4 linked regions of the Diceros bicornis minor genome follow. The protein of the gene in region 1 purifies or fractionates together with the protein of each later gene. This does not show direct contact. Links are inferred from orthologs where the notes say so. Each region holds a gene or a part of one and is shown in the gene's direction. Other genes may lie near its edges.

Evidence for each region.
Region 2: the proteins of PTPN3 (region 1) and VANGL1 purify together in Homo sapiens (affinity purification with mass spectrometry; 4 studies listed by BioGRID and IntAct, with this or other methods). This does not show direct contact. The link is inferred for Diceros bicornis minor from reciprocal best matches to the Homo sapiens genes PTPN3 and VANGL1.
Region 3: the proteins of PTPN3 (region 1) and KCTD3 purify together in Homo sapiens (affinity purification with mass spectrometry; 4 studies listed by BioGRID and IntAct, with this or other methods). This does not show direct contact. The link is inferred for Diceros bicornis minor from reciprocal best matches to the Homo sapiens genes PTPN3 and KCTD3.
Region 4: the proteins of PTPN3 (region 1) and VANGL2 purify together in Homo sapiens (affinity purification with mass spectrometry; 3 studies listed by BioGRID and IntAct, with this or other methods). This does not show direct contact. The link is inferred for Diceros bicornis minor from reciprocal best matches to the Homo sapiens genes PTPN3 and VANGL2.

Annotation. Positions count from the first base shown.
Region 1 is NC_080767.1:18,392,807-18,399,696, reverse strand, and holds the start of PTPN3 (tyrosine-protein phosphatase non-receptor type 3), read left to right. Parts: upstream 1-3,886; 5' UTR 3,887-3,956; intron 3,957-4,351; exon of another isoform or gene 4,352-4,505; intron 4,506-4,533; exon of another isoform or gene 4,534-4,796; intron 4,797-6,890.
Region 2 is NC_080743.1:48,187,504-48,194,399, forward strand, and holds the start of VANGL1 (vang-like protein 1), read left to right. Parts: upstream 1-3,885; 5' UTR 3,886-3,985; intron 3,986-4,447; exon of another isoform or gene 4,448-4,932; intron 4,933-6,896.
Region 3 is NC_080777.1:17,191,879-17,199,496, reverse strand, and holds the start of KCTD3 (BTB/POZ domain-containing protein KCTD3), read left to right. Parts: upstream 1-4,610; 5' UTR 4,611-5,022; coding exon 5,023-5,105; intron 5,106-6,975; exon of another isoform or gene 6,976-7,080; intron 7,081-7,618. UniProt on the Homo sapiens protein: Accessory subunit of potassium/sodium hyperpolarization-activated cyclic nucleotide-gated channel 3 (HCN3) up-regulating its cell-surface expression and current density without affecting its voltage dependence and kinetics.
Region 4 is NC_080743.1:65,045,665-65,053,596, forward strand, and holds the start of VANGL2 (vang-like protein 2), read left to right. Parts: upstream 1-4,912; 5' UTR 4,913-5,181; intron 5,182-7,932. UniProt on the Homo sapiens protein: Involved in the control of early morphogenesis and patterning of both axial midline structures and the development of neural plate. Plays a role in the regulation of planar cell polarity, particularly in the orientation of stereociliary bundles in the cochlea.

The DNA of each region.
Region 1 (6,890 bases):
ACTAGTGATGCATATTGGGTTTGTGGCACATCTTCCTCTCCAATGAAATGACCCTCTTTGGCTTTTTGCGCTTGTTGTTTAGTGATTTCTGGGCCAGGTACTGTTAAAAGAGAGAGCGGACAATTTTTTTAGCTTGTCAGCAGTAGGAGGGCTGCTTTTAGGGTCCTGGCTTTCTCTCTGCAAACATCATCAGGACTATCAGCTCTGTATCTTTTTTTTTTTTTTTTTTGTGAGGAAGATCAGCCCTGAGCTAACATCCGTGCTAATCCTCCTCTTTTTGCTGAGGAAGACCGGCGCTGAGCTAACATCTATTGCCAATCCTCCTCCCTTTTTCCCCTTTTTCTCCCCAAGGCCCCAGTAGATAGTTGTATGCCATAGTTGCACATCCTTCTAGTTGCTGTATGTGGAACACTGCCTCAGCATGGCCGGAGAAGCGGTGCATTGGTGTGCGCCCAGGATCTGAACCCGGGCTGCCGGTAGCAGAGTGCGCGCACTTAATTGCTAAGCCACGGCGCCGGCCCTGTATCTTTTCATCACAGCAAAGTCCTGAGGAGTCCATGGACCATGTGGTTCTATTATGTTGTGATTCTGCCTCCAAAATGATTGCCCAGGGACAGTAATCTAGGTGGGTCCTCTCTGGACTGGCCCCATTATCTGAGACTTGGTACAGTCCTATTCCCAACTGGGCCTCTGTTTGCTCTAGATTTGGCTGGGTTCAACTATATAGACTAAGAAGATTACGTGTCCATCCAAAAGCCCCATTTGCATAAGATTTGTGAGCTTATGATATAAGATCAACTGCCATTGCTGATAATAACATCATGTCACTCCAGGGGCCACAGCTTAAAAGGGTGGACTTTACCATTTTGGCCCCCAAAATAAAACAGTAACAGAGGACCAGAACATTTAAAGGTAATCTGTAGCCTATAAACAAATCAAAGGGTAGAGAAAACAAGGCAAAAAAGACACAAAAGGAAATGATGTGTGTTTTCTCTTATGATCAATATATGGTAAGCTACTACACAGAGAGAGGAGGTATTATAAAACCTAACATCCTGGCTTTGAGGTCAGACCAACTTATATCCAAATAGTGACCCTGCCTCTTAGCAGCTGTGAACAGCTCGTAGAATGTTTCCTCTTCTGTAAAACTGAGCTAGAAACACCCACTCTGTAGACTGACCATAAGGATTAAGGACAGAATATGTGTAAAATATTGATCACACTTGAGCTTCATAATAGCAATTATTTTTGTTATTATTATATTATTTTATTTTAAAATAATAAACATTGCAAACACAATATTGTGACATTAATAGATAAACTTAAAAAGAAAAACCAAGACCACTACCCCCCAAATCAGACTATTTACATTTTCCCATATTTCCTTTTAGTCTTGGTAAATGTGTGGACATAATCTTTACGTAGTATATTTGTGTTTTCAGCTTTTTTTCACTTAACATTGCACTGTAAGTTTTCCCCTGTTGCAATATGGTCTAACTTAGTGTAAAACAGTTACTTCAACAAATATACCATAACCTAATTAATCATTTCTCTATTTGCTGACATGTTTCCAGTTTGGGGAATATTCTTTAATTTTGTTCCTGTTTCTGTTATGCTGATTTGAAATGCACAATTTTTAAAAGATTTAGGTTTTCTTCCCTTAAATGTATGGATATGTTTTAGCTCAATTTGAAAACACTGTTTATAAAAGCTAATGAGTGTTCACCGTGGGGAAAGAAAAGGTGGTTTCAGCCTAGTTTCTGGTGGAAAGCAAATTGAGACAACTGCAAGAATTCACACATCCATTAACCTTCGTTTCCTCATCTCAGCCCTTGGCATACTGGTATGGGGATGACAGATAATGGAGGTAGGCACTCAAGAAATGGATCTTCAAAGTGGACTAAACATGTTCATGTTCTTGATGTCATTCAATCCCCACATGCGCCCCAGATCGAAGCGGTAGGTATTCGTATTATTTGAGGCACAGAGAGGGTAAGGTGCTTGTCCCAGATCACACAGCAGCTGGGAGACAACAGAGAACGCCTCTCCCGGACTCTGAATTTCCAGCTTTCCCACCGAGCTTTGGAAAAAATGCCCCCAAGTCCCGCTAAGAGGCGGCGGGTACAGCGATGGGTCGAGGGCCGAGCCGGCCTCTGCGAGGGGCGTCGCCGGCCTCTCCAGGAGGCTCCTCCTCCCGGGCGCTCGGGCCCCGCCCGGCTCCGAGCATGCCCAGTGCGCTCCCCGCCCGTCCCAGTGGTGCAGGGCGGGCGCCGCGCCTCCAGGTTTTGCCCGGGACCAGAGGTCGGGGCGGGGCGGGACGCGGGGCGGGTCCTGTTCCTGGGACTCCCTGGCTCCGTCGGAATTCACCCGACGCGACGCTAGTGCGACGCCCGCAGCGGTGGCGCTACCCAGCAACATGCGACTCGGGGACAATGACCAAAGTGAAGTGCTAGGTGCTGCCGGTGGCCGCCGGATGGCCCTTGGGCCGACCGGACCCCTGGACCTTGGGCACCTGGGGCCGGACAGGATGGTTCCAGCCATTACTCCACTCCTTCATTCACATATTCATTCCCAAACACTTTTTGAGCACCTAGTGTGTGCCAGGCTGTTGTAGGGGCTGGGACACCGCAGTAAAGACAGGCAGGGCTCCAGCCGCGGAGCTGAAATTCCGGAGGTGAATACACAATAAGGAAGCAAATCAGGAAAAGTCACTTACCCACCTCATCTCCTGCTGCTCTGCCCTCCTTGCTATTGCCTAAGCAGTCCTGCGCCTTAGGGTCTTGACACTGGCTGTTCCCTCTGCCAGGAATGCTCTTCCCAGTTTTTCTGCGTGGCTAAAATGTCACTTTCTCAATGTCACCTCTCAAGGGCCCAATGTGACCACCTTATTGAAAATGGCACTCCCTCTACCCTCAAGTCTCCTTACCCTGCTCTTTTTCCTTCGTAGAATTTACCACCTTCTGATATACTATATAGTAGTTTGCTTATTTGCATGTTTATTGTCTGTTGCCTGCCTCTCTTCCCGCAAACTCCACCAGGGGACGAGATTTTTGTCTATTTGTTCACCACGCGCGAATAACCAGAGTAGGTGATCAATAATTATTTGTTGAATAAATTAATGGATGGTGATAAATGTGAGGAAAATAAAGTGAGGACATGGAGAGTGTCCCGGAGCAGGGGGCTAACTTAGTAAGGGGGTCAGGGAAAGCCTCTCCTAGAAGGGGGACATATGTACAATGAGAAGGTGCCAGCCACGTGAAAAGCTGCACAAAGACGTCCCACACAGAGGAGGGGAGAGGCATGTGCAAGTGCCCTGAGGCTATCCAAGTTCTGAGTGTTTGATGGACAGAAAGGTGCTCCTGGGGCTGCAGGAAGAGAGGTGTGAGATGAGGTGGAAGAGGAAAGCAGCAGCACAGATCAGGTAGGGGGCCTATAAATCTTGGGAAGAGGGTTTAAGCCAGGAAGGTTACTAGTGGAATGGGATGAGCACTGGACTGGGAGTCAGCAGGACCCCTGCTAAACCACAAAGCCGCTGGGCGAGACGACTCCTCATTTCAAAGATTTGCTGAACGCCGACTGCTTGACATTCCTAGGTATGGAATCACCGTGGGCCGGGCACACAGTAGGTGCCCAATAAGTGGTTATGGAGCCAATGCCTGCGTGCATGCGCAAGGGGAGCCGGCGCTGCACGGAGCTCGGCATGGGAGCCCGGGTGGCCCGGGGAGGCGCGTCCGGGCGCGCCAGCTCGGGGCGGGGGCGGGAGCGCCCCGCAGGGCGGCCCGGGCGCCCGCCCCCCGCCCGGCGCGCGGGCCCGTCGCGGCCAGCCCGGCCGGCGGGAGCCGCCCGCGGGCGGCACTGGGCATGCTCAGACGGCGGCCAGGTCGGGCCGCGAGCGAGCTTCCGCGCCGCCCGCACGCGCGACCTACCTGGGCGCCCCGCGCCCCCGGATGCTGCAGGTACGGGCCGCCGCGACCCCCCGGGCCGGGGGCAGGGCGCGGGGCGGCGGGGCCGGGGGCGCGCTCGGCGCCGCCCCGCCCCCACCGGCCCCGGGCGCGCGGCGAAGGCGCGGGCGGGCTGGCGGCCGCGGCCGCCCCGGGGCGGGCGCCACGTCGGGGCGGGGAGGGGGCGCCCCCGCCGCGCTCACCTGGCGGGGCCGGGGCGGGAGGGAGCAGGCCGGGCCGGGTGGGGCTCTGTCCCGGGCGGGCGGCCGGGACGCGGTGGCGGCGGCGGGGCGTGGGCGTGCGCTCCAACCGGGGCAGGGGCGGGCGCGACCGAGCCCGGGCGGCCGGCGACCCCGGGGGGCCCAGCGTCGCCGCGATTGCGGCCCCGGGCGCCGAGGGGGCGCACAGCCCGCGGGGAGCCAGCCAAGCGCGGCGGCCAGCCCTTCTCGGCTCCCCGGGCGAATCCGCCTCTCGGCTTTCAAAGATGGCATTTCCTGGGCCTGGCACGAACTCCAGCGCCAATAAATCCTCCCCGTTCCGCGGGCGATCCGAATGATTTATCAGGTACCTGTGCTGAGACAGCTGCAGTGGGGGGCGGGGTGTATGTGAGAGCGCCCAGCCCCCCGGAAATTCGCATTTCCAGCAACCTAAACTTACTGAGAAGTTGCGGTTGCCTTAAAAATTCATGGGAAGTTGAGACAACTTGACACCTGGGTTTTCCGAGGTGGTGGAAAGAGCTTGTGACTTGGAAACTGGAGACCTCTGTTCGAGTTGGACTCCCCCGTGGCCAGCTGGTGACCTTGGGCGAGTTGTTTAACCTCTCTGATCCTCAATTTCCTCCCCTGCAAACAGCCGGTAATGATGCCCACCTCACTGGGTTGTCGGGTGGATTAAGTGGGATAAATTATGTGGAGGTGTTTGGCACCTTGCCCGGCACAAAGCGAGCGAGCAGTTGGCGGCGTGATGTGAATTTAATTCGTTTAGAGACCCTCGTGGCTCCCATTTCACCAGGAAATTAGAATTATGAAAGCATCTTCAGGGCCTAGTGGCAGAGTGACAGACCCTGTCTTTGTGCCCAGGAGAACTTCTGCTGAAGTCAAGGCTTTGGAAAAACAATTTAGCCGAATTGTAACCTGAGAGCATCTTCTTTAAAAGCAGTTTTATACATTCAGAAACTCCAGAAGTTGGCACTTCAGCTTTACTTGCAAAAGAGCTGTTTTGCAAAATGATCCATCTTGCAAATGTTTAAGCAGATGATGCTTGAAAGTAAAGCCTGGTGAGGAAGATTTCTGTTCTAAAAACCTCCCAAACCCAACTTGCAGTGATTGTTTAGATCAAGGTTTCTTAGCCTCTGGATTGTTACCGTTTGGAGTTTGGTAATTCTTTGTTGTGGGGCCTGTCCTATGCATTGTGGGATGTTTAGCAGCATCCCTGGTCTCTTCCCAGTAAATTCCAGTAGCAAACCCTCTCCCTAGTTGTGCCAACCAGCAATGCCTCCAGACACAGCCAAATGGCCCCGGGAAGGAGGGGCAAAATAGCCTGTCTTCCTCTTGAGAACCACCGATTTAGAACCACTGTGCTTTCTATCATTAGCCTGAGTTGTTTGGGAATTTCATCTTATGTTTTTTACTATAATAACTAACCTTTGTATAGCCTTATAGAACTGCACAGAGAGCATCCACATGGGTCAGCTCATTTAGTTTTTACAACTCCCTCGTGGGGCTGGTGTTATTCACATTTTACAAATGAGGAAATTGAGGCTTTGAGCTGTCGATTACACAGTGTGTGGTGTAGCTGGGATGTAACTCACGTCTTCTGGTTCCACGGGTGGGTCTTTTTCTTCTACATCAAGCTGCTCTTTATTGTATGGAGACTCGCAAATAGATGACTTTCCTGATGATTAAATTATGATGTAAAGTAGACTGAAAGCTAGAACCTTTCTGAGATTGACTAGTTGAAAATTAACCGTAAGCTATGATCTGACAGAGAGTAGGTCGTTGTAGTTAAATATTCTAGTTGATAATGAGCTCCCATAAATCCCACCTACAGTTAATGGAATACCAATTTGCAGAGAATTAGAGTAGAATAAAATGTGCCTAATACTCTGTATTGATCCTGAGTTGTCTCTCCTGATTTGCAGTCTCCTAAAACGGACTCCTGTATGCAAATTAGACATTAGCTGGGGAATGTCAAAGGTCACGTTACTGAAGGCATTTTGGAGTGGCTGAGGAATTCTTGTCAGCAAGCATTTATTGGGCTGCTTCTATATGGTAGATGCAGTGCTGGGTGGGGATGCAGAGTAGGCCAGGGGACCCCAGTGAACCTAGGTGCCTGGGGGGACTTCTCTGCAGGGAGAAGGCAGGTTCTGGCCAGGACAGACACATGGCTGGCCCTTGGGGACAGCTTGGGGCAGGAGAGAGAACCCAAGGTAACACTGAGGCAAATTCAGGATCCCGCACTGCTTCCTCGCTCCTGTCTCTGAGCCCTCCTTTCTGCATTTTATCATAGAAAAGGTATTCTGAGAGCTTTTTAACATTCTCATTCAAGTGTCAGGATCCTTGTCAGAGACAAATCATATCCCCGAAAGAAGTTGGGGTCCCAGGCTGGTAATTGGTCTCTGGGGATTGAGACCAGCTCCTTGATGGTTGACTGTGAACTGGGAGGTTTCACGTACATTATTTCATTTCAGTGTCGCGTTCCCTGCCCCTGCAGACAAGCACACTGAGCTAGCAAAGGGAGTGTGGGGCCAGGAGCAAGAGGGACGAATTGTGACCTTTTGCACCTCGGGTCCAGGCACCCGAGGGATTCCGTTTTCTAGGAGGGACATAAGTCACCAGAGGGACTTGGCTTTGGGGACTGGAGGGAGCAGGAGGACATGAAACCCTCTCTACCCCCTCCCCCAGGGTTTGTGGCAGGTTGGGAGGGGACCAGCAATTTGTGGTCCCTCCT
Region 2 (6,896 bases), on another chromosome or scaffold:
CTTTCCCTGTGCCCCCACAGCGTCCCGTCCCGCCTCTGGTCTCAGTCACAGCATTCTCATATTCGATAGCAAGGCTTTGTTCAAGCAGCCGGAGCCTCCCCAGAGAGAGGGACACACCACAGTCCCCCATCCCCTATCTTGCTTTGTTTTCTCCTTAGTACCTGTCACCATCTGACACACTACACATGTTGCTCCATGTCTCCCCACTAGAATTTAAACTCAATGAGGGCAGAAGCTTTTGTCTGTTTTCATGTATCTTCAGAGCCTAGACTAGTAACTGGCACATAGCAACTGCTCAATAAATATTTGTTGAATAAATTGTTGACTCACTGATCAATGTTACTTTATCTAGCTTTGTATCCTTAGTAGTTACATTGCCTGGCTCGCAGTAGGTACTAAGTCTAAGTTTTTGAATGAATGAAAAGATGAATGAATACCATGTTGCCAGCCTGTTTAAGAAAGTTCAAACACTAGTGTTGGGTTCAAAGTTCTCCATCTTCTAATCCTAGCCACTCAGTTTTGAATCCTCTACGTTTCAGCATGAGTCCTTGTCTCGAGCCTAACTGCTCTGCTCACTGCCCTTGACTATATCCCGGACACCGCTCTCTCCACACCCCTGCCCATACTCCAAACAGAAACACCGTTTACCCCCTATTCCACTCATATTTATTAAGCACTTGAGATAAGCCAGCCACTGTTCCAGCCACTGTCCTCCACCTATGCCTATCCCACTCCTTTCTTTCCTCAACGTGAGGACAAGGTGACCCTGACCAGCCAGGCCCGTGTCACTCTCCTTGGGCACTAATAATCTACAGCCTAGCACCTCATCCCTGGTGTTATCAACATATAAACAGATCCTACACATAGATTTTACAGAAAATGGCCCTTTAAAGAATCAGCGCTAACATTTCAAACATTTTGGATGGAAATTTTTCTAATATTATTTTCATGTCTTCCTAAAGTACTGTATATAGAATATCCATCTAACCTTCATAACTCAAGGTCATCACTATGAACACTATTATTCTGTAATGAGGCAGTGTGCCAGGGGGAGTAACTGGTAACAAGAAAGAGCATGAGTTTTGTGATTAAACAATCTTCACAATGACCCCTTTGCAGTCCCTGGGGTTTCCTGACATCACCTCCTTCTCTTTTAATATGTTTCTAATCTATAGTGGGCTTAGGACTCAGATGATGAAACTTCTTAGAAATGTTTGTAAACTATGTGTAAATAGTTGCCGAGTATACGAGAGATTCTGCTATTTATAAAGTCTATCCAATTTAAAGCATGGATTTTGTACAATCTATTTTGTTGATCAGAGGCCTTTCTCACTTAACTGTTTTTCAGGTGTATTCAGAATTCTTGAGGCTGGATAAGTGACTTCTTAAAAAGTCTGCCTTTAATGCATTTAGCATTTTACATATTCTCTTTTGTTGCCAACTATCTTTATGTGCCTATGTCATAACTTTTCAACTAGATTGTTCCCTGGTGAGCTTATTAACTTCCCAAGGGCAAGTGATATTTTATAGTCATTCATTCATTTGCTAAGTATTTTTTAAAGTAACTACTAGGTGGAAAGATCTGCAATAGAAAAAAGATGAATAAGACATGGTATTTATACATTATTGAAGAGTGAGAAGCAAATAACCAATACGAGGTAAGAAGGTAAGTATAAAAATCCAGAGAGCCATGGGAATTCAAATAGGTGAAGAGAATATTTTCTGGTTGGGAGAACCGGGGAAGGCTTTGTGTAAGAGATGGCATTTGAGTTGGATCTTGGTAGACAGGAAGAATTTTAGTGGGTAGCATTCTAAGGTTTGGGAAAGCTGTGAGAATGGGCAGAAAGGGAGAAATATATTCATGAATTTGTGGAACATACAGTCATGCTGGAGTCCTAAGAGCACCCAATACATAGTATCCTACTTCCCTAGCTGAGTTTGGAACAAATGGTTACGTGAGACAGAGGAGTGGCAGATGGAGCCCACTTATCACCTTTATTACTGAGTAAGGTTAAGCTGGAGAACTGGACTTGAGGCAAGAGCTGTATAAGCCTGCTGAAACCTGGAGCAATGCTGACTCACTTTGTGACAGACAGTGGGAGCCAGGGCAGGCCTCCAGGCCATACAGACCATCACTCAGGTCCTGAGAAGTTGTCCACCTCTTACCTTTTAAACTTGAATACTTGAGATTGTTGGATCAAAACCAGCAGTAGATGGCATTTAAAGGTGAATTTATTATCTTAAAATAGAGTTTATTGTGCACTACCCCTCTTTGCCACAAAAGCACCACATGGCAAGGTAGCTTACTTAAACTATAGTGAATTAGAATCACTTTCCACGAACATGCACGGAGGATCTGTATATCACACGGCGGCTATTCAGGAGCAGCAGAGCTAGAATTGGAAATCCCTGGCCCATTGTAACTTTGAAGGGTTTACATTTTAAAGATGAAAGAGACACATTTTTATAAAGCTCTACATTCCTGTATCTGAGCACTGATTCAGGTGGATAGACAACCGGCTTTACCCTTAAGAAGATGGCTGCCTGGGTCAGCCCTAGCCCTCTGGAGACAGGGGAGAGGTTTGTGAGGGAGAGAGGCAGATGTCCTGGGCTGCCAGAGTGAGCAGTGAAGCCTGGTGGCGGGCTGGGGAGGGGTCAAGATTGACTGCATTGAACATATGTCCTCTGAAGAAGTGCAATATATGGGAGAGAGAATGGGACTGGAGGGGGTGGGGAAGAGGTGGGGCTGGGAGTGAGGGCTTTGGGGACTCAAGCTCCCTGAACTAGGCTAGTTCAGGGTGGGTGTGTTTCCCCACCCCAACTGCCCACAGTACACAGTACTTCATTATACACCATCTCGGCTCGAGAACTGGGTCATGTAAGCAGCTTCAGGTCCCAGCCAGATTCCACACTCTCCACGTGGATCCCTAACCCTATCCACACAAGATATTGAAGTAAGAAGAATGCAAATATTCATATACATAGTTGACAGCTGTTCAGTGCCTACTGGGCACAAGCTACTTTCCATAATCCTCACCACAATCCTGCAAGGTTGGCATTATCATCCTCTCCCACTTTTCAGACAGGGAAACAGACTCAGAGATGGAAGCAGACCTGGTTGAATCAGGATTGGAACCTGGGCTGCCTGCCTTCAGAGATGTGCTCTTCCAGTAGTTTCTATGAGACTGGGGTTGGGGGGCAGCGACTGCTCTGTTAGGAGAGGAGGAGGGAGAGGGTTGGCTATGGGGGCCCGGGTGTGTATGGTTATTTGCCTGGTCATTTCCTGGGCTGCATGTGAGTTTAAGTGGGAGTGTGTATATGGGTTGAGGTGGTTGTATATGGATATTTGTGGGTCAGTTCTTGGAATGTGTGTATACGAGTGTGTGTGGGGCGGTTAGCCTCCGGGCCGTGTGAATATGTTTGTTGGGGCTCCCGTGAGGGCAAACGGGCTTGGATTTTGTGCATGATTGTGAGTATGTGTGTATGGCTGTAAGTTTGAGGGGGCAAGTACGTTGGGCTGTTGGGTGGGTGTCACTCCCTGGCCATGTGTTTATGATGTGAGGGTGAGTGAGTGAGTGAATGTGAGTGAGTGTGTGTGTGTGTGTGGGTGTGGGTGTGGTCAGTCCCTGGGGTCTGTGTGTGTAGGAGTGTGCACGCACGCGCGTTTGTGTGCGCGCGTGAGCGTGCCCGGGTGTGGCGTGGCTGCGGGGTGGGGAGAGGCCGGCCGGCCCCGCCCTCCGCTGCAGGTGGGCCGGGCCCTCGGCGGGGCCGGCAGCGCTCGCTGCTCTTGGCTCGCGGCCGCGCCGGGCTCGCAGGGCTGGGCTCGGGCTGCGGGGCGGCGCCGGGACAGGAAGCGGAAAGCAGCAGTGCGGCGGTGGCGGCGGCGGCGGGGCTCTGCCTGTACCGGAGCCCAGCGCAGGCCGCAGAGCCGGGGCCGCCGTGAGCCGAGACCGCGGGCCGCGGAGCCTGCACGGCCGGCGCGGAGGTGAGTCCCGCGGGAGGCCGGACGCGACGAGCAGCGCGCAGACCTTCCGCAGGGAGACGCCCCCACCCCGGACCCTGCGAGCTCCTGAGCCCTCCTCCCGCACCCCCACCCCAGACGCGGGGTCACCGCCTCCTCCCGCCTCTGGCCCGGAGCCGCCTCCCCTCTTACTGACCGCACCCCGTGTTCTGCTCCCGGGATCCCACTCCTCTGCCATCCCCGCGAGGTGCGCCCCTCCTGCCCCTCGCTCCGCTCCCCGCCGCACACCGCTTCCTGGGTCCCGGCATTCCCCCCACGCCTCGGACTCCCCCTTCTTCCCGGCTGCACTTTGGGGTGCGCCCTCGGGGTGCGCGTTCCGGCCGGCAGGGAGTGGCCGAGCGTTCCTGGAGCACCGGGCGGCTGGAGCGGCCGTGCGAGCGGGGGCCGGCAGCCCTGCGCTCCCCAGGAGCCGGGCGCGCACCGTGGTTCCCACCCCGCCGCGCAGCTCGACCCCGTAACCGCCAGCGCCCGGGGGCCGCCCGGCCCTGGGCCAGAAGCCGGCACAGAGCTGGCCTGTGTTCACACCCCGCTGACAAAATTGAGCCGGCCCCGGAGGCCTGGGGGGGGCGAGTCCGGTTGCGCATCGGAGAGCGCAACAGGCAGGTAGGAGTTTACTTTCAAAAACGCCGGGGTGGAGCAGAGGCGACCGGCAAGTCTGCGCGGAGTGTGCCACTTGGAGAAATCTCACCGCGCCGGGGCAGCCTTCGCCACGGGCAGGACCTCATTTTCTCCTGCAGTCTTTGAACTGCCCCAAGCAGCGCGCCCGGAGAAGTGTGAAGCTTTATAAAAATTTAAACGTGTCGGTGCTGGAGGCAGGAGCGGGGCGGAGCCGCGGCCTGGCCGCCCGGAGATGAGCTAGTGAGACTTGGAGCCGAGAAATCTGTTGCTCAGTTTTCACATCTTCAAACCAGGTATAATGCCCACGCCGCGAAGGTGTTGTGAGCTCGTTTAGCTGCTCGTTAAGAGATGTTAGAGCGCATTATTATGATGATTGTGTGGCTGGCACGTGCATTTTGTTAAACCCTTTTGGCGGGGCTGTGGTTGGAAAATGCATGTGTTTTGGACACTTATTCCAAAAGCTAGTAAGCTGTAAAGAATCTGGCATTTTCACTGATATGTTTATAAATTTTATAGGGTTGCTGGAAAATATTATAACTTGTGTCACCAATCAACAATGCTAATTAGCATTCTCCATCCAGTGGGTGGGTTGATTACACAGCTCCTAGGCTATTTAAGTGAGATGGCAGAAACTGTCTGAATTCAGGGAGACGTAATTAGTCATTTTATGTAACCACTAATTAGAGTTTTTAGAGTTAAATTAAATCAATGTGATATCGTTGGGGCTTTGATTTGTGGGAGGAAACTTTTATTCTACAGTTCAAAGAAATAACACCACAAATCCATGAACATTTAGCATTCCCAAACTTTGCTGTCTCTAAGGATAATTAGGGAAAACATCTTGTGTGAAATTCTCAGAGTGTTGATAGTGTGACTTGGTTACGACTTAATTTGTAAATAAAATGGGAGAAATAAAATTTATTGTGTTATGTATTTGAGCAACAGGACAAAACCATAAAGGAAAGTTTCTTTACAAGCAGCAATCCCGTGTCATCCTGGTCTGTTGAAGAAACAGCGCTGGGTGAAGAATGGTCTTCTCCTCTCCCTCCCCTTCACAAACACACCCTTTTGTCACCCTAGACTTCAGCCGCATTTGGGGTGCATGGGTCCTTACCACATTGTATTTTAATAGCAGGTTTCCACCTTTGGGCTGTGAGCTCCTTAGGAGCTGGAACTGTTTCAGATTTGTTTCTTTTTTCCTGGACTCCCCACAGTGCTTGGGACACTGAACCTGTGAGTAGGAGTTGAAATTGCAAAATTGTTTGTGGGTTATGTGTGGTTTAGGACAATTGATGATTGTTGCCTACCCTCCTCTGTGTAAATAAACAATTCTGGTAATTGCTACATTGCTATAAATTTTCCTTAGCTAAGAGCACAGGTTCTGGAATTAAACTCTCAGAGTTCAAGCCCTGGCTCCAGCGCTCACCAGGTGTATGACCTTGGTTTCCTTAACTGTAACATGAAATTAATATTTTATCTCCCTTATAAGGCTTGTTTTGAGCATGAAGTGAGACATTGCATGCAAATCACTTAAACAGTGCCTAACACATAGTAAGCACTCAATAACTGTAAGCTGTTAGATTATTATCGCGGTCCTGTCTCTGTAAAGTGAACTAGCTGTGGTTAGGAGACTAGCTGTGTATGGGCATGTGATTTGGGCATGGTACTATGCCATTTTCCAGAAGGTGGACAAGACAGGATGAGGTGGACTCGAGGCTGGACCATGTTTCTGCTAGTGGCTTTGGTCTTGCTTGAAGCCTGAGGAATGGTGCATGTGTGCTCTGCTGCTGTCTGTCCCCATCAGTGTCCTTCTGAATCCTGCTTATTGGACAGCGGTCATTGGACCTGGCACCATGAGATTTACAGAGGAGGTAGTACTTGTGAAATCTATTTTTCTGAACCTTAAAAATCTAACGGGACAAGGGAGTCACTTGAAAACAAATATACATCATAGAACCCCAGACGTGTTAACCATTCACAGCTCTCAGACATCTATACCCAGCTGCTGGAGGTGTTTCAGAGGTAATTAATGACTGGAGCCAAGAGCAGTTATTCTGGGAAGCTGAGTTGAAATCATTGGCAAGACAGGTAAAATGAAGTTGACGTTTTCTTTCCTTGAGAATAGTGGCCCAGAATCATTCATTTATAAGAGCTCTGTTGTAGTGAAAGAATCATTGGGTTTGTCACAAATGCCACAAGCCCTCTGATCCTCACATCAGTGACCTGGATGGTGTTTTATGGTTTATAGACCACAAGT
Region 3 (7,618 bases), on another chromosome or scaffold:
CTTTCCTTTCCCCATTGGCTCCCTTGTGCCTTTCCTGTGCACAAGCTAATAAACTTTTACTTTCCTACTCCCGTTTGTTGTCTCTCTTGATTTCCATCCTGGGGAACGACAAGGACCCGATGTGCTGGTAACAAGTTCATATAGATTTGCCCCATAATAGTCATAATATGCAACACCATCTTTTAAATCATTCCTCTATGGCTGAACATTCTGATTGATTCTAAGATTTTGCTATTATAACACTGCACAATGAATATGCACTTCTTGATATGCACATGTGTAATATGTCTATAAGACGTATTCCTAGAAGAGAAGTGTTGGGTTAAGAGGATGTACATTTAAAATGTTGATACTCTTGAGTTGTCCTCCAAAAACCCTGTACCCATTCAAACTCCAATGAACAGTGCATGCGAGCGGCCATTTCAACACTGGATTTTACCAAAACTCTTAATTTTTGCCAACCTCATGAGTGAAAATTACATCTTTTTCTGTTGTTTGAATAAATATTTTGGTGTTTTTAGTAGTTATTATTCCACTACTTGCCTATTGATATACTTTCTATATTTTTCATTTTTTGTTTTCTCAGTTGATTTTTTAAATGATATACGTACAATCGCATGCTGTGGAATTTTAATCATTTCTCTGATAGATATTGCAAATATTTTTTCTCATTCTGCTGTTTGTCTTTGAGTTTGTTAAGTGTTCCAATTTATTCTTAAAAAATAAATCATGTACTAATTTTAAGTTTAATGAGTAAGAAATCCCTTCAGATACATCTCACATTGATTTGGACACATCAAGAAGTCATGACCATTTGTTTTATAAAATAGTGAGCCCTCTTCCTTCTCCTGATGAGATGTCTTGCTAATAATTAATATTATTGTGCAATGAGATGAATATTGTTTCATTTATTTATTTCAGGAAAGACAAGAAGCCTTCTCACAATTTTTTTTTTTAGTTTATAAGGTCAATTTCAATGTGTGTGGGGTTGTTCTCACACTACTAAGCAATTCTTGGACACTAGGTTGGTGTTGTACAATTCATCTCAATTCTGACATCTACGTGGAGAAAGTATGAGATTCCACAGGTTAAGGGCTCAGTTCTACACGACTGCCCTCCACTTCAGATGCCAATTGCAAGCCCAAGTTGTCACCTGTGCTTCCGACCCGACTGGCTATAAATCAGAGGTTGCCATGACTCCTTCCTTAGATTCCATTAACTTGCTAGAGCAGCTCACAGAACTGAAAAACTAGTTTACTCACTAGATTACAAGTTTATTGCGAAGAATATTAAAGGATACAAATCAACAGCCAGATGAAGCACACAGGGCAAGGTCTGGCACAAAGGAGCTTTTGACCTCGTGGAGTTTGGAGCCTGACACATGAGAGTGTTCTGGCTCACCAACCTGGAAGCTCTCTAAACCCTGTTCTTTGGGTTTTTATGGAGGCTTCATTACATAGGCATGATTGATTAAGTCACTGGCCGTTGGTGATTAATTCAACCTCCAGCTCCTCTCCCCTCTCCACAGGTGGAGGTTCAAGATGGTGGGACTGAAAGTTCCAACCAGCTAATCACATGGTTGGTTCCCCTGGCAACCATCCCCCATCCTCAGGTTACCTAAAATGCTCTCCAAAAGTCACCTCATTAACATAACAAAAGAAACTGTTATTGCTCTCATCTCCTGGGAAACTCCAAAGGTTTTAGGAGTTCTGTGCCAGAATCAAGGATGAAGAGCAAACATATATTTCTTATTATAGGTCACAACATCAGTGAACATAAGTGAGGCCATCTTGTTACGCTAAATGGCCCCAGCTCCTCCTCTGTGTAACTACTTGCTGCTCTACATGTACTCTAAAAATAAATCACATGCTCTCCTCATTTATGGCCTCCACTTACATATGTACTCCCCAATAGCTTGATAGATTAAAGCTTTGTTCTATGAGTTTCTCTCCAGCAACAGGCTGACCACAAGTGGGAAACACAGCTACAAGTTATCCATCACAGCTGACAGAAGAATGGAACAATGTTATGCCTGCAGCCCCTCACACTTGGAAACCAACATCCCCGGACCGCCTCCTTCCTGCCCATTTTCCCTGTATAACTGCCTCAAGATTCTGTAATTTTTGAAGATGGGTTTTTGAGACATTAATCTGCCATCTTCCCAGTTATGCTGTATGCTGGCTAATCGAATTAAAACTTCGTTTCTCGATCCCTAACTCGTTGTGATTAATCAGCTCAGATTGCAGCCAGCAGAGTGAGCCCATTGCTCCGTAACAACAATATCACAGGCCTTAGTCTAACTTCAAGTTGACTCTCAAATTCATTAAAGGCAAAAATCTGTCAGCAAGTGTTTTTTTACATTCTTCCAAGATGTGGGCCTACTGAAAATTAAATGGCCTTTTCACCACCTAATTCTATCCCGCAAATTTGAAAGCAAAGTTTCAGATCCTGATAGAAGCAGATATTATAGGTTAGAGCAAAGACAGCTAACACGGTGTCAAGTGTGAGGGATTCTTAGTTTGCTGCTACCTGAATCTGAACTGTTACTCATCTTCTCTGTATAAAGTGAAGATAAGAAAGTGCAGAGTGGCCCTGAAATCAAACTGCCTTCAAATTCCTGTTATGCCACTTGCCAGCTATGAATTTTTTTTTGGTGAGGAAGATTGGCCCTAAGGTAACAGATTGTCCTTGAGCTAACATCTGTGCCAGTCTTCCTCTGTTTTGTATATGGGATGCCGCCACAGCATGGCTTGATGAGCAGTGTGTAGGTCTGTGGGAGATCAAGATTTGGCCACCCTGAAATCTATCTCTTTACCTTGGTTGTTTTCTCTAGGGACATTTGACCTCCCCCACTAACTGCCTAAAGAATTTGACATGGTGGCTCCTTCCTGGAACAGATCTATCATGATGGCTGTAAAGATAACGTAGGGTAAATGTTACAATAGGAAAGGCACCAACAAGCCCCTCTTATCAGAAGTTCTGTCTCTCTGGCCACATTCTCTGGATGACCCTGCGAGGAGTTGCCAGACAATCATTTACATTTATAAGGGAAATCTCCATTTGTAAAGGTATCTCCCTCTCTGTTTTGAGAAGAGAGGGGGATGGCCTCATTTCTAGAAACTTATCAATGTGGAAGTTGAGGCCTTAAAGCTGCATAATAACCTTACTCTCGTTTACTGTGCTTTAGTGGTAATCTCCTGTAACTGACTCCCCCCACCCCCAACATCCTCCTTTGTCATTGGCTGAACATGGTATTTAAGACGAGAATTTCTGCTATTGTGTTGAGAAATGCAGTGTCCCTGCTTTCTCCCATGTGTACATGTTATCAAACTTGGTATTATTTTCTCCTGCTAACCTGTCTTGTTAATTATTTGGCCAGCCAGAAGAACCTTAAGGAAAAGGGCAGAGGGAGATTCTCCCTCTCCCCCGACACGTCCATGCCCGGGATCGGTATCGGAATCTTGGGCGTGAATCTTGGGCCTCTGAAGCAGAGTGTGCAAACTTAACCACTACACCACCGGGCCGGCCCCTGCCAGCCATGAATTGTTGAGCAAGTTTTCTGATCATTTAAAATCTCAGTTTTCTATTTTTAAAATAGTGTAATAATAGTTGTGAAGAAAAAAATGACAGAAAATTTCTAAACCATCTAGCATATGATGAATCCCTAGTAAATACAAATTAGCTCTTATTATTATCAACTGGGGTAAATAATATTTATCTTATATCTATAAATACTGCTATCCTCTTTTAAGCCAAATTTGGATAAAGTCATCGCAACACTGGTATATTTGCCAGCAGAGATTTTTAAAAAAATTATGACAGTGAAAATAAAAATATAGCATCATGTAGGTCTTCAATTTGAATTCTTATGGTAAAACTATAACAAAACACAATCCGTGCTAAGAATTTAGTACTACAGACGGATGAACTTGGAAACATAACGCACTGTCTTTGTTAGCTTTTGTTAGCTGGCATCAGGTATTATATACAACGTAAAAAAACATATTTTAGTAGCTACTACTGTTTTGGGTTCCAATATATACTGTTTAAAGCAAAGATAATCAAAATTTTAAAAATTGCGTGTATTTGTGTGTGTCTAACATTAGTTGAGTGATTACTATACTCCAGAAACCTGTTGCCCTACACAGCTTAGGAGTTTTTTGTTTTTCCCTTTTTGTTTCCTACCATGCTTAACCAAAAAAAAAAAAAAAAAAAAAAAAAAAACTGCTTGGGAGTAGGGATGAGATTGGAGACGGGGAGGTAAGGGGTTTGTAAGCGCTATAAAGTTTTAAAATCCCCCAATTTCCCCTGCCGTTGCACTATTTACAGTTCGGCATCAACTTCTACTACCTCCAGGAAACTCTCCTTGCATCTCCCAAATCCACGTGGAGAAGAGAGACAATAAAGATGCTGAGGACAGTTTGCCCAGACTTGCCCTCAATCTGGGAAATCTGACTCCTCGAGCTAGAAATTCTTAAACGTAAAAGGCAGGGGGCTGGGCCTGCGTGGGATGAGGCGAGAGCAGAAATCCCGTCCGGGCGGGCGCCGGGCCAGGAGCACATTCCCCCCGCCCTCCGCGCCAGCTCCTCGCGGCCGGGAAGCTCCTCCCCGCCTTTCCTTCCTCCTCCCCCTCCCTCTCGGCGGCGCGGCGGGCGAAGGCGAGAGCGCTGCGGTATTTTGTCCCGAGCGGCGACCCCTCCTCCGGGCGGGCTGCGGCGTGCGGCGGCCGCGTCCGTGGCAGCCGAGCGCTGAGGAGAAGCCGCGGCCGGCCCGGCGGCCCGAAGGCCGCCAGAGGGGGAGCCCGGGCCGCCCACGCGCGCCGTCGGAGAGGCGGACGCGCCAGCGCCCCGCCTGGCCGCCGGGAAGGTGGAGGAGGCTCCGCGCGCTGCCCGCGCCCCGGCCGCCGCCGCCGCCCCCCTGGCCCTGCAGCCGCCGCCGCCGCCGCCTCGGGCTCCCGCCGCCGCGGGCTCGGCGGCCCCGGCCGGGGAGGGAGGGCGGCGCGCGCGGCCGGAGCCGCCGGAGATGGCGGGAGGGCACTGCGGCGGCTTCGGCGCGGCGGCGGCCGGCAGCGGCGAGATCGTGCAGCTGAACGTGGGGGGCACCAGGTGAGGCGGCGGGGACCCGGCGTCCGGGAGCGTGGGGGGCGAGCCGGGTGGGGAGCGCGGGGCGCGCCAGGCGGGAAGAACGTGGGGCGGCTCTCGGGTCGCTGAAGCCTTGGCTCCGGGCAGGGGGAGGCGGGAGGCCTCCTGGAATCCCCGAGAGCCGGGCCCCTGTGGCCGGGTCGCCGCCATCCTAGGATGCCCACCTTTGTCCCTGCCGCTTTCTAAGGTGCCCGGCGAGGAGGAACATTATATAGCCTCCCTTACTCAACCTCGGAGTGTGTTTGAGCAATTTATTTCGTAGCAGCCTGGCCTTTCGTGGTTTGGCTCTTTCCCACGAACCTGCCTCCCTCTCTCTTCGGTCAACCAGGTGTCTGCTTGCTTGGACGAGAAACAGTCCAGGGTTCTTTTCTTTTCCACGCCTCATCAAGGGCTGTGTGTCATCTCGAAGAATTTCGGTGGAGGGAGTGCAGTAGATTTGCAGGAAGGACATCATGTTTTATTTTCGGAGTTTGTTGGTGCACGGCTCTGAGGGATCGGATCAACTTTCAGGGCGATGTGTCCAGGAACTGCACTTGGAACAGTTGGCTCTGGGAAGCTTTGGATGCTGGCAGCGTGTGGCGCACTCGTAGTAAACAGACTGAAAGCTCCTCTGGCCTTCCACGCGTTTCTATGACTTTTATTAAGCTTGTTAGGGAAAAAAATCATATTTCTGTGGATTTGCTATGGCTTCTGAGTCACTTCTCAGAAATGGGAGTGTGCAGCTCTGTTTGAAGGACGGGGTAGTTGACTGTTAGGCTTGGTGGGAGATAACACGATGAAATGCTCTGGAATATAGTATATTTTGCTGTGCTCGAGAATATGAAAGGTTTTCAACATCTAAGACTTTTAACCGATATTTTTGAAAATGCAAAATGGCAACAATGTGAACCATTTTGATAAAAATGTATAGTGTTTTAATTCTAAACATGTAATAGTTTTCTAAGTGTCCTAAAGAATTCAACATAAGAAACAGTAATTCTTCCTTCCTTCCCTGCTCTTTTTTTCCCCTCATCTCCCAAAGCAAAACTGTTTAATAGTTTAAGAAATTACATTGTTATCGCCGCTGTATAGATACCAATCTTAGGGAAGAAATGGATATTTTTCTGAGATCACATGAAAATATTGCAGGTTTGGTAACTTGCGGATGCAAAAACGAAATACCCTGCAAGAGTAGGCCTTCAATGTGTTAATACGAAAGACTAACACTGTAGTCATTTAAAATCCCTACACTGGTTTCTAATTGCTATCAGTTGTATATTTCTTATTAGGCATTCTAAAGGACATAGAGTATTATGATAAAAATTAAACAGTAGTTATTTATTGTATATTGAAAGCCAGTGGCTTAATTATGAGTGAACTCTTGTTAATGACCGTAGATTCAGTTTCAAATTTTACCTTATATAAAAGGCAGCTATTTTGGAGCTGGAACGTTTTATTACTTACGAAATTTGATTTGATCAGGTTCTCAATTTTTCTAAGTGGTATTAGCAAAGAATACAAAATAAGATAAATACATTATTAGATTAAACAATTTAGAAGACAGGTGAAAGTTGTTACATAGGAATGAGAAAGTAAAACCGCACAAACTTTAGAATTGCTAGGATAAAATAGTTTATAAGTAATGATATGGCGTATAGAAAACAGAACATCCAACTCAGAGTGTTCTAAGGCTATTTTCTTGAGTTACTTTGAATCATAGCCTGTTGCAGCATTTTAGAGCTAGGAGGGATCTAGAAGTCATCTATATCTTGTGCAAAAAACAGATTAACACAGTCACTTAAGTACATTGTAAAAGAAAAAATCCTGATGTGATTGTCTTTAAAGTTGAAGAATTGCCACTGGGAGAACCATCTGTGGTGCAGAAGTGAAGTGGGCTCTGAAGTGATAGAATAAAACTCAAAAGGAGAGTTTATTGTAAGCAGAGAAGCGTATGCCATAGGTAAGATCTTTTTTTTTTTCTTCCAAGAGGAGAGAGAGATGAAAATGGACATACTCAAAGGAGTTATAGAAATGACCAATTTTTATGATTTATTTAACACTTTGGGATGATTCAGAAAGTAGACAAGATGAGGCTTCATTTAGAGTTGTTAATATGCATTATTTCAAAAACAAACTAATGAAGTGAAAGAAACCCAAGATGACTCAATTTGTGATTAATTCTTTTAGAATAAGTATGATTTGAGGCCACATGAGAGATGTCTGGGACCAGCCAGTGGGGGACTCGTGGACAAAGAACTTTGGAGTCAGACAGATAGGGGTTCCAGTTCCCAGCTGTTACCTCTAACTAGCTTAGCAACCTAGGGCAAATTATTTTTTATTGCTTAGTTTCCTAAAATGTAAAATGACAATAATAGTACTAGCTTTACAGACTTGATAAAGGAATTTGAAGTAATAAATGGGAAATGCAAGGATTATTAGCATTATCAATAGTAACATTGCAGAATAAATAATTTTGATTAGATTGCTTCCAATTAATT
Region 4 (7,932 bases), on another chromosome or scaffold:
TTCGACTTCAGAAGCTCACAGACCAGCTGGGCAGACAGATATGTAAATAAGAAATTACCGTACAATGTCATAAAATGCAGAGCTCTGGGAGCACAAAGGAGGCTCTCTCAGGGAGGAGCCATCTAACATTGTTCCGGAAGGTTGGGGAGGAGTCAAAGAGAAAACCACAGCTGAGTCTGGAAGGATTAGCAGAACTTTCTAGGCAGAGACGGACGGGGATGGCATTTCAGGCAAAGGAAACACCATGTGAAGGCAGAAGCAGTAATAGAGCCTCAAATTGGGAGAACAATGAGTAGATGGGTATAGTTTGAATGTATGTGTGTTGAATGTTTGGGCTTTGAGTGCACAGGGAGTAACAGGAGATAAGGCCGCAGGGAGAGAGTCAGGGACTGAAGGTCCTTACATAGAGTGCCAAGAATTTTTGACTTCATCTTGTAGACAGCAGGGAGCCACTGGATTGTTTTAGGCAAGGGAGTTACAGTCTGACTTCTCTTTCAGAACAATCACATTGGCAACAGGGAGGAAGATAGATTGGGAGGGAATGATACAAATTTGGAAGCGAAAAAGGTCTAAATAAGCCAAGGGGATGGGGGTGGAGGGAAGATAATGTGTTCCCTTTAAACCTATTACATTAGGAATACCCAAAGAATAATCAGGTTAAAAGGTCCAGTAGGAAGCTGGAAATATGAGTCTGATGCTCAGCAGAGAGATCTGGATTTAGGAGGATTCATAAGTAAGCAGTGACTGAAGCCATGGGAGAGAATGATATTACTTTGGGAGAGCATGCAGGGTGAGGAGGAAAAGGTCCAAAGGCTGAATTCCAGGAAATATCAATATTTGAAGTCAGGAGGAGGAAAGATAGTAAAAGGATGGCTGGGTTGCGAGGAGCTGAGGAGTAAAGGACGGTGGTGAGGAATCTACTCTTTTAAGAAGGTTGCATGATAAAGAAAGGAAAGAAAGGGCTGAAGCAAAAGGAAACTGGAGGGAGGTATTTTATTTTGTTACCTCTGCTAGATGAAGATGAGAAATGGAGGTGGGAAAGGACAGGACCTAACGCACACCTGGAGGGATTAGTCCTAGGCAAGGGAGGTGGGAGGCATTTATTCTGCCAAGAAAGGAGGAAGGGATTCAGAAAGAGTTTGATTCAGTGGTTTTCAAATTAGAATCACTGAGGCAACTTGAAAAAAAAAGCCAACATCTGGGCCACACGTTGGAAGTTTCTGGTTTAATTAGTCTGGGATGGGTCCTGGGCATTGGTGTGTTTTCAGAGCTTCCCAGATGATTAAAATCTGCAGTCATGGTGGAAAACCTCACTCAAGGTAGAGGTTTAATTGTAGGTAACTTTTTAGATTGGCGGTGACGGGATGGGATTTGAGGAAGCTCACACTTGATAAAGGTTGGGTGAATAGGGAGTGGTAGAGGTTTGGGACAGGTGAGGAAATTAGAAGGGAAGGAAACTAATACCAACTCAGTGACGTTTATGTGCCATTAACATAGAAATAAATGAGGCTCACTGTTTGTTCTCAAAGAGAGCTAGAGCTTACCGGAGAGAGAGATACACCTCACAATAACCCTGAGTCATCCCAGAGTTCTTAAGCAGTTAAAGTTTTTTTTTGTTATTTGTTTTGTTTCTCATTAAAAGTGAAAAAAAAATCCAGTTGTTTCACAGTGTAGACTGGATCTGGAAATACTTTTCTAAACACTGAGAGTAGCCGTTCTAGGAAAGCGGGTGCTGGGGAAAGAGCTCTAATTATCCTGGAAGATTGAACTGTTCCTAGTTTTATCAGCAGGGCTGCAAGAAGATGGTGATTCTAGCCTGGGATGTGGGTACACCACTGTGGTCAGCTGTACCTGGGAGGTGGCTGAAATTGCTAACCACTCACATTTAAAAACTTTGATGGCCATCCTGCCATCAAAAAGCTTCCAGGGTGTGAAGCTTTTTATGTTTGAGCGAGATACTAAGGATTCCCCTCTCTCAGCAGCAGTGCTGTAAAAGGGCCCTACTTTTCGTCAGAGTAGAAGACCTAACCTTTGCCACCATGGTCTGGGCCTGACCTCTGGGAACAGCTTCATCTGCAAGGAAAGCAGGCATTTCTCTGTAGCTGGGACCTTCCCTTGGAGAGGGTCCACTGCCGCTTTTTGAGCCCTTTGCATCTTTCCCAAGAGACGCAACCTCCCAGGGCTCCTGAGAGGCCTGTGGTCTGCCTGTTACATCCCTGCTGCCTCAGGCGCATGAGCTGTGGAGTTGAAAGAGCTTTTACTGAGGGTTCTAGCTTTTGTCTAGGAGCCCCCTTCCTTGAGCAGGATTCCCCAAAGTACTAGGAATCCCCTAGGCACTTAACAGAGAGGGGACCTTTGATTGGGAATGGACTGGGGCACTATGGGTATGCAGAGGGGGTCCCTTCCGTCACCTTATTAGTTCCATTTTATATATAGGTATTGAGGCTTAAAGAAATTAAGAAGCTTGCCCATGTCCTCAAAGCTAGGAGCTGTGCATTCAAAGTTCAATCTGTTCCACTCTGTTGTCCTTCAGGCTCCTGACCTCCCTCTATCACTGCAGTTGGACCCTTTGGGAAAATCTTGGTTGAATGTCATCTCAGTGCCCAGCTCCCTCCTAAAGAGTTAGGCTAGGTCCCCTGGGCCCTAGGGTACGTGGGCCTCCTCTTTGGGTCTCCATTTCCTCACCCTGTGAACTAAGGATGTGTGAAATCCAGATGGGTTTCCATCCTAGTGATGAGGGTGGAGGGCAGTCCGGGGAATTGCTGCATGGGACACATTAAATCAGATTTTAATGGTGGACCTCTCCTCTGTAATCCAGTGCTTTTGTTACAGAAATAGAATTGAAAGCCCCCAATTTCCTCTTCAGAGAAGAGAAAGGAGGGACGGAGCTTATTCCAATTTGATGTCTGATATCTTCGTTTGTTGACTTCCTGACTCAAGTTTTGAGCTTTAGGTGTGGGCCAGTCTACAGAATGATTTGCAATTCTGGCATCAGAAGCTGTGTTTCTTATTCTTTGGACCCTTTTGAGGCCTGTGAAACAGGGTAGCATCACGAGAACACAGTTCACACTGAACCTGCTGGATAGTCAGCCAGGGCCCTGGCAGCTAGGGCAGCCCCGACACTCTGTCAAATGACACACTTGCTGCCCAGTCTGGGGGTGTGCTCTGGGCAGGGCTGGGAACACCCTAAGCTAGCCCTACCTCTCTTTACCGCTCCCCAGCTCTCTTGCCACTCATCCCTCATACACCTGGTTGTCATGGTCACTGTGGGACCCCCAGTGCAGCCTAGCACATGACAGGCACCAAGCAATTGAGTCCGTGCATGCATGCAGGGACTTGGGTACCTGAAATGATGATTCTGCACATTTCATGCAGTCTTGGTGCTGAGTCACTTGCTGACCCACAGTGTGGGAACCCGGAGCGAGGAGAGGAAAGGATTTGGGATAAGGAGAAGGAAAGTGTTTCTAAAGGTTCTCCATCTTTGAATGGTCACAATGCAGATGAAGATGGCTCTGTCCTCATCTTTGGGGAGGTTAGAATGGATGACCAAAAGGGATGAGATTAGGTCTCAGAAAAAAATTTCATCAGGGAGGAGCAAAAATCCCCAAACGAGTGAGGAACAGAGGCTGGAAGTCTCCTTCCTTGGGACCTAATCACAGGGTTGGGTGAGAAGTGATCAGGATTGGAAGCTGGAGGATGTTGAGATGTTGAGAGGGCCCTACCCTGCCTGGGGAAAAGTGTGTGAAGGTGCTTTTGAAGTACTTATTACTATTCTAGGTAAGTGCCAGGTTGCACAGCAATAATACTAATGATAATATAATAATACTCTTGCTTTCACTCACTCCAAGGGGAACATGGACTTCCCACAGCCCAGACTTCTATGGTGGGGGTCACTCTTGGTGGGTTCAGTCTATTGCCCCACTTCATCAACCTCAACTGGTTTCTTGGAGTACTTTAACGCAGAAATGCCCCCATTATGGCGAATATTTTGTGATACCCTATAATCCCCGTGTAGTACCCTCAACTCCAAGGTATCTGAAACCTCTGGGGCCGAGAGCCCTGCCTACTTGGGGTTAGAGACCCGACAGACCAACGCATTTTAACTCCGGGAGGTTTCCTGGGAGAAGGGCCCCTCTGTTCCTTCATCCAAACTCCTTGGCGCCTTCGGCGTCTCCCCCCTCCCCCGCTCCCCTAGGGCAGGGTTCCCTTTGTAATTAATCTAAACGCTCAAACCAGAGGGGAGGAAAAAGTGTTAATGAGGGAGCGTCTCAGACTGACTGGGCGGTCGCCGCTCGCAGCTAGAACCGAGTAATTAAATTATTTTTGGAAGCAGGGGGATGTGGTGGTGTTGGCGTCAGGGAAATCCCCGTATGCACGGGAAGAGGGGAGTGTCTCTCGCCACTAATTAAAATCAGGGACGACTCTCCCTTCTCGCAGCCCTAGGGGGGAAAAATCAATTTTTCCACGTCCCAGATTCCATTGGATTTCGTGTAGATGGGTATGTGGCCCAGAAGAATTGAACACGGCCGTCCCCGGGGGTCTGGGGCCACGGTCTCCGACAGGGGGTCGAGGAAAACAGTCCCCGGAGGGGCTGCAGGCTGGGCCAAGGCCAGGAATCGAGGCATCCCTTGGCCACCACTCGGCTCCGGGGTCGCAGCACCGCCGCTGATTCCCAGGATCGCGGAGGGCCGCCGGGCATCTGGAATTGAAAGGCTAGGGGAGCGGCGACTCCGGGAACAGCCGGGCCGCAGACAATGGACGCGGCGGCGGGAGGGGCGGCGAGTGCGGGAACAGCCGGGAGGCGGCACCCGGGAGCGCGCGCTCCCCCGCCCCCTGCACCCCCTCCGCTCTCGTCCCCTCCCCCTGAGCCCCCTCCCCCCTCCGCCGCCGGCTCCTGATCTGATTCCTGATCCCTGATTCCTTGATCCTTGGTCCCGCCATGGGAGCCTGAGCGCCCCCCATTCCCCCCGGCCCCCTGCCCCCGGGGCCTTGAGGGGGAAGAGGCAGCGGTCTGGGACGGACAGGGGTGACCAGACTCAGGAGCCCCCCTTAACATCCCCCCATCGTCCGCGCTGCCCGTCCGGGAGCGCGGAGTTCGGAGCGACCCGGAGCGCTGCGGATACAAAGGCGCCGGGCCGAGCGGGGCGCCCGCCGAGCCCACCCGGCAGTTCGCAGCGGCGGGTGAGTGCCGGGCCGAGGGGGCGCGGGCAAAGTTTGCAAAAAAAAAGAAAGAAAAAAAGAAGCCGAAGAGGAGGACAATCATGCAAGGGGCCAGGGGGTGCCCAGCCCCCGAGCGAGGGGGGTGGTTTATGGGGGAAGGGGCTCTGGGCCACCCCTTTCCGGTGTTCGCCCACTGCACAGCAGAGTGCCCCCCCAACTTTGGGGAGGGGAAGGGGCGCGTGGGGAGGGGGCGGAGCCCGGGCCTGGAGAGCCGGGGACTTTCCTGGGCCCCGGGCCGGGCAGGGGCCTTAATGATCCCGGGGGAGCCGGTTGAATCCGGAGACTGGGAGTGTGTTGGAGGTGGGGGGAGAGGCAGTGGTAGGATCAGAGTCTGGAGGTTTTGGAAGACGAGGGTGTTTAGGGGTGCATACACACCTTGGGAGTGTGGGGAGGCATGGGGGCAGGTGTGCGTTCAGGGTATGATGTGGAGTCTGGGGAGCTGGCCAAGGAGAGTAGAAGAGGTGTGTGTGCAGCTCTAGGATGGAGCTGGTGGCAGAAGACCCACTTTGTATCCGGGCCCAGGGGGCAGGAGGCCGGCATCCCTCTCCCCACTCATATTTACCTATTTAGGGGGCTGTGGGCTCTGCATTAGTGAGTTTTAAAGGATTGGTGGAGGATCAGTGTGCATGATTCTTTGTTTTTGAGTGTGTATGCCTTGACGTGCTGCATGCTCCTGCAGGTGGGCCCCTGGGTTTGAAGGTATAGTTGTTTTTCGGTGCCTGAGTGTACGTGCAACCAGGAAGCGGCTGACTATGTGTCTGCATGTGTTTGGATATGTATTTATGTGTACATTCTGAGGAAAGGATGTGCATCTATGTGTGTGTACTGGGGAGGGTTTATGGGAAAGAGGTGTATAGGTACTGAGGAAGGTGGGTGTGTAAGAGCAGAATGGGACATACCTGGATAGGTGTGTGTGCACCTTTGTGAATGAATCTGTGTTCTCTTGTGTGTAACCTGTGTTGATAGATATAAGTACCAGTCTGTGTGCCTGCCTCAAGTGGTGTGTGTGTTTTTGAGAGTGTTGGGGGAACTACCTTTTGCCTCTGCAGGCAGATTTTCCTGGCAGAGATCCCAAAGGGAGTGTTGTCTGGAGGATTCCGAGGCTTCTGGGATGGCCCTGCCTGGGTTTGAGGGTAGTGCCTTAAGTATCTGAGACCTACGGGTGGGAGCGAGTGGGCCATCTTATGAGGTGCCTATTTTGGGAGGTGGGTTTTTCTAGAAAAGGGTGTATTGTGGGGAATAGGGAAGGGGTTCTTGTTGTAGTCCTAGAGGAATCTGGGAGATTGGAGGACTCAGGGAGAAGAATAAGAGGGACTTCCTCCTTCACCATCATAGGTTGGGTTCTGGTGGGTGAAGAGGCTACATTCTTGGCTTCCTAGCCCAACTTCAGCCCCCTCAGGCCACAATTCTCTTGGAAAGCTGTCTTGGAGTTTGCTGCTTCAGAGCCTGCTAACTCTGCTCTGCCACCAGGATCCTACAGTTCCCGGAGGGTCTTGGGATTTTGGTATGGGATGGAGGCAAGAGGAAGGAGCATGCCTGGAGGGATGAGATCTGGTGAGGAACAACTTGGGTTCCTTGCCCATGGGGCTGAGAAGGTCACATGGGAGTTCTGGGGAGGGCAGTGGAGGGTGTTTCTCCAGGAGTTTCTGGAAGTGTATCTGTGTGATTTATCACAGAGTTTCCCTTTTACCGGGTAAGAAGCATGTTTGGGATAAAGCTGTGGTCTGGGGCCAGATCTGAGGGTGAGGATTAGGGGATGAGCTTGCAAGAGGGCAAATGTCTGTGTGTTGGGGAAGGGGCAGGCACCCATCGTAGCTGTACTCATCATCATGATAGTGTGGAAGTGGATCTATCTCTCCCCAGAGAAGCAGCACCCACCTCCTTTCCCTCTCCTCTCTCTTGTCCTTTCTCTTTTGGGGTGAAGAAAAGGGACCAGCCATCTTCTTTAGGATGCACACGTTGTTCGCCCATTTCACTCTCTCAGCCATTTTCCTCCTGCTGCCAGAAGTTAGATGGAGACACCCAGTTCTTAGAGCTGAGGCTTTGATTGCACATGCCCATTAGGGTCTCTGAGTAATTGGAATTGGAATGTTAGAGTCCCTAATGGGCATGTGCAATGGGAATGTTCCGTCTTTAGTCCTCAGGGCTCCCCACCTTTCCTAAGGCCCTCGGGATAAGAGTAGTGGGAGTTACAAAATGTTGGGACTAGGGATAGGGGCAGAGTAATTAAAGACTAGACTTAAAAAAAAAAAAGCATGATTCTCTGACATCTGTCTGATGGGTTGGGTTGCTAGGGTGAACGAGGCACTTGTCTCTGGGATGTTGTGCTCTGGCTTCTGGGGTACCTTGCTTGCTCTTTGTACTCTCACTACATGAATGACATGCTGGTGGGGGTGCTCTTCCAAGGAGGAGGAGCTGTGGTCAGACAATAGGAAGTGCCATCTCTGAAAGTACTTCGGACTGGAACTAGTGGCCACATTGGCCACTCCTCCCCCATTGTCTTGCTCCTGCCTTCTCTTTCCTCTAATTCTTCGGGGGCAGCCCTCTCTGGTGTGACCCCTCTCCCCCCAATCCTTTGAGATCTGAGGAAGGGCCCTCTTCCCTGGCCCTAGAGCAGGACAGACTTTTATCTGCTCATCTGGTTTCCAAGAGGTCATTCTGGTTAAAGGAGGCGTGAACTTGGCTAGCAGAAGCTTTGCAGAGGAAGAGGGA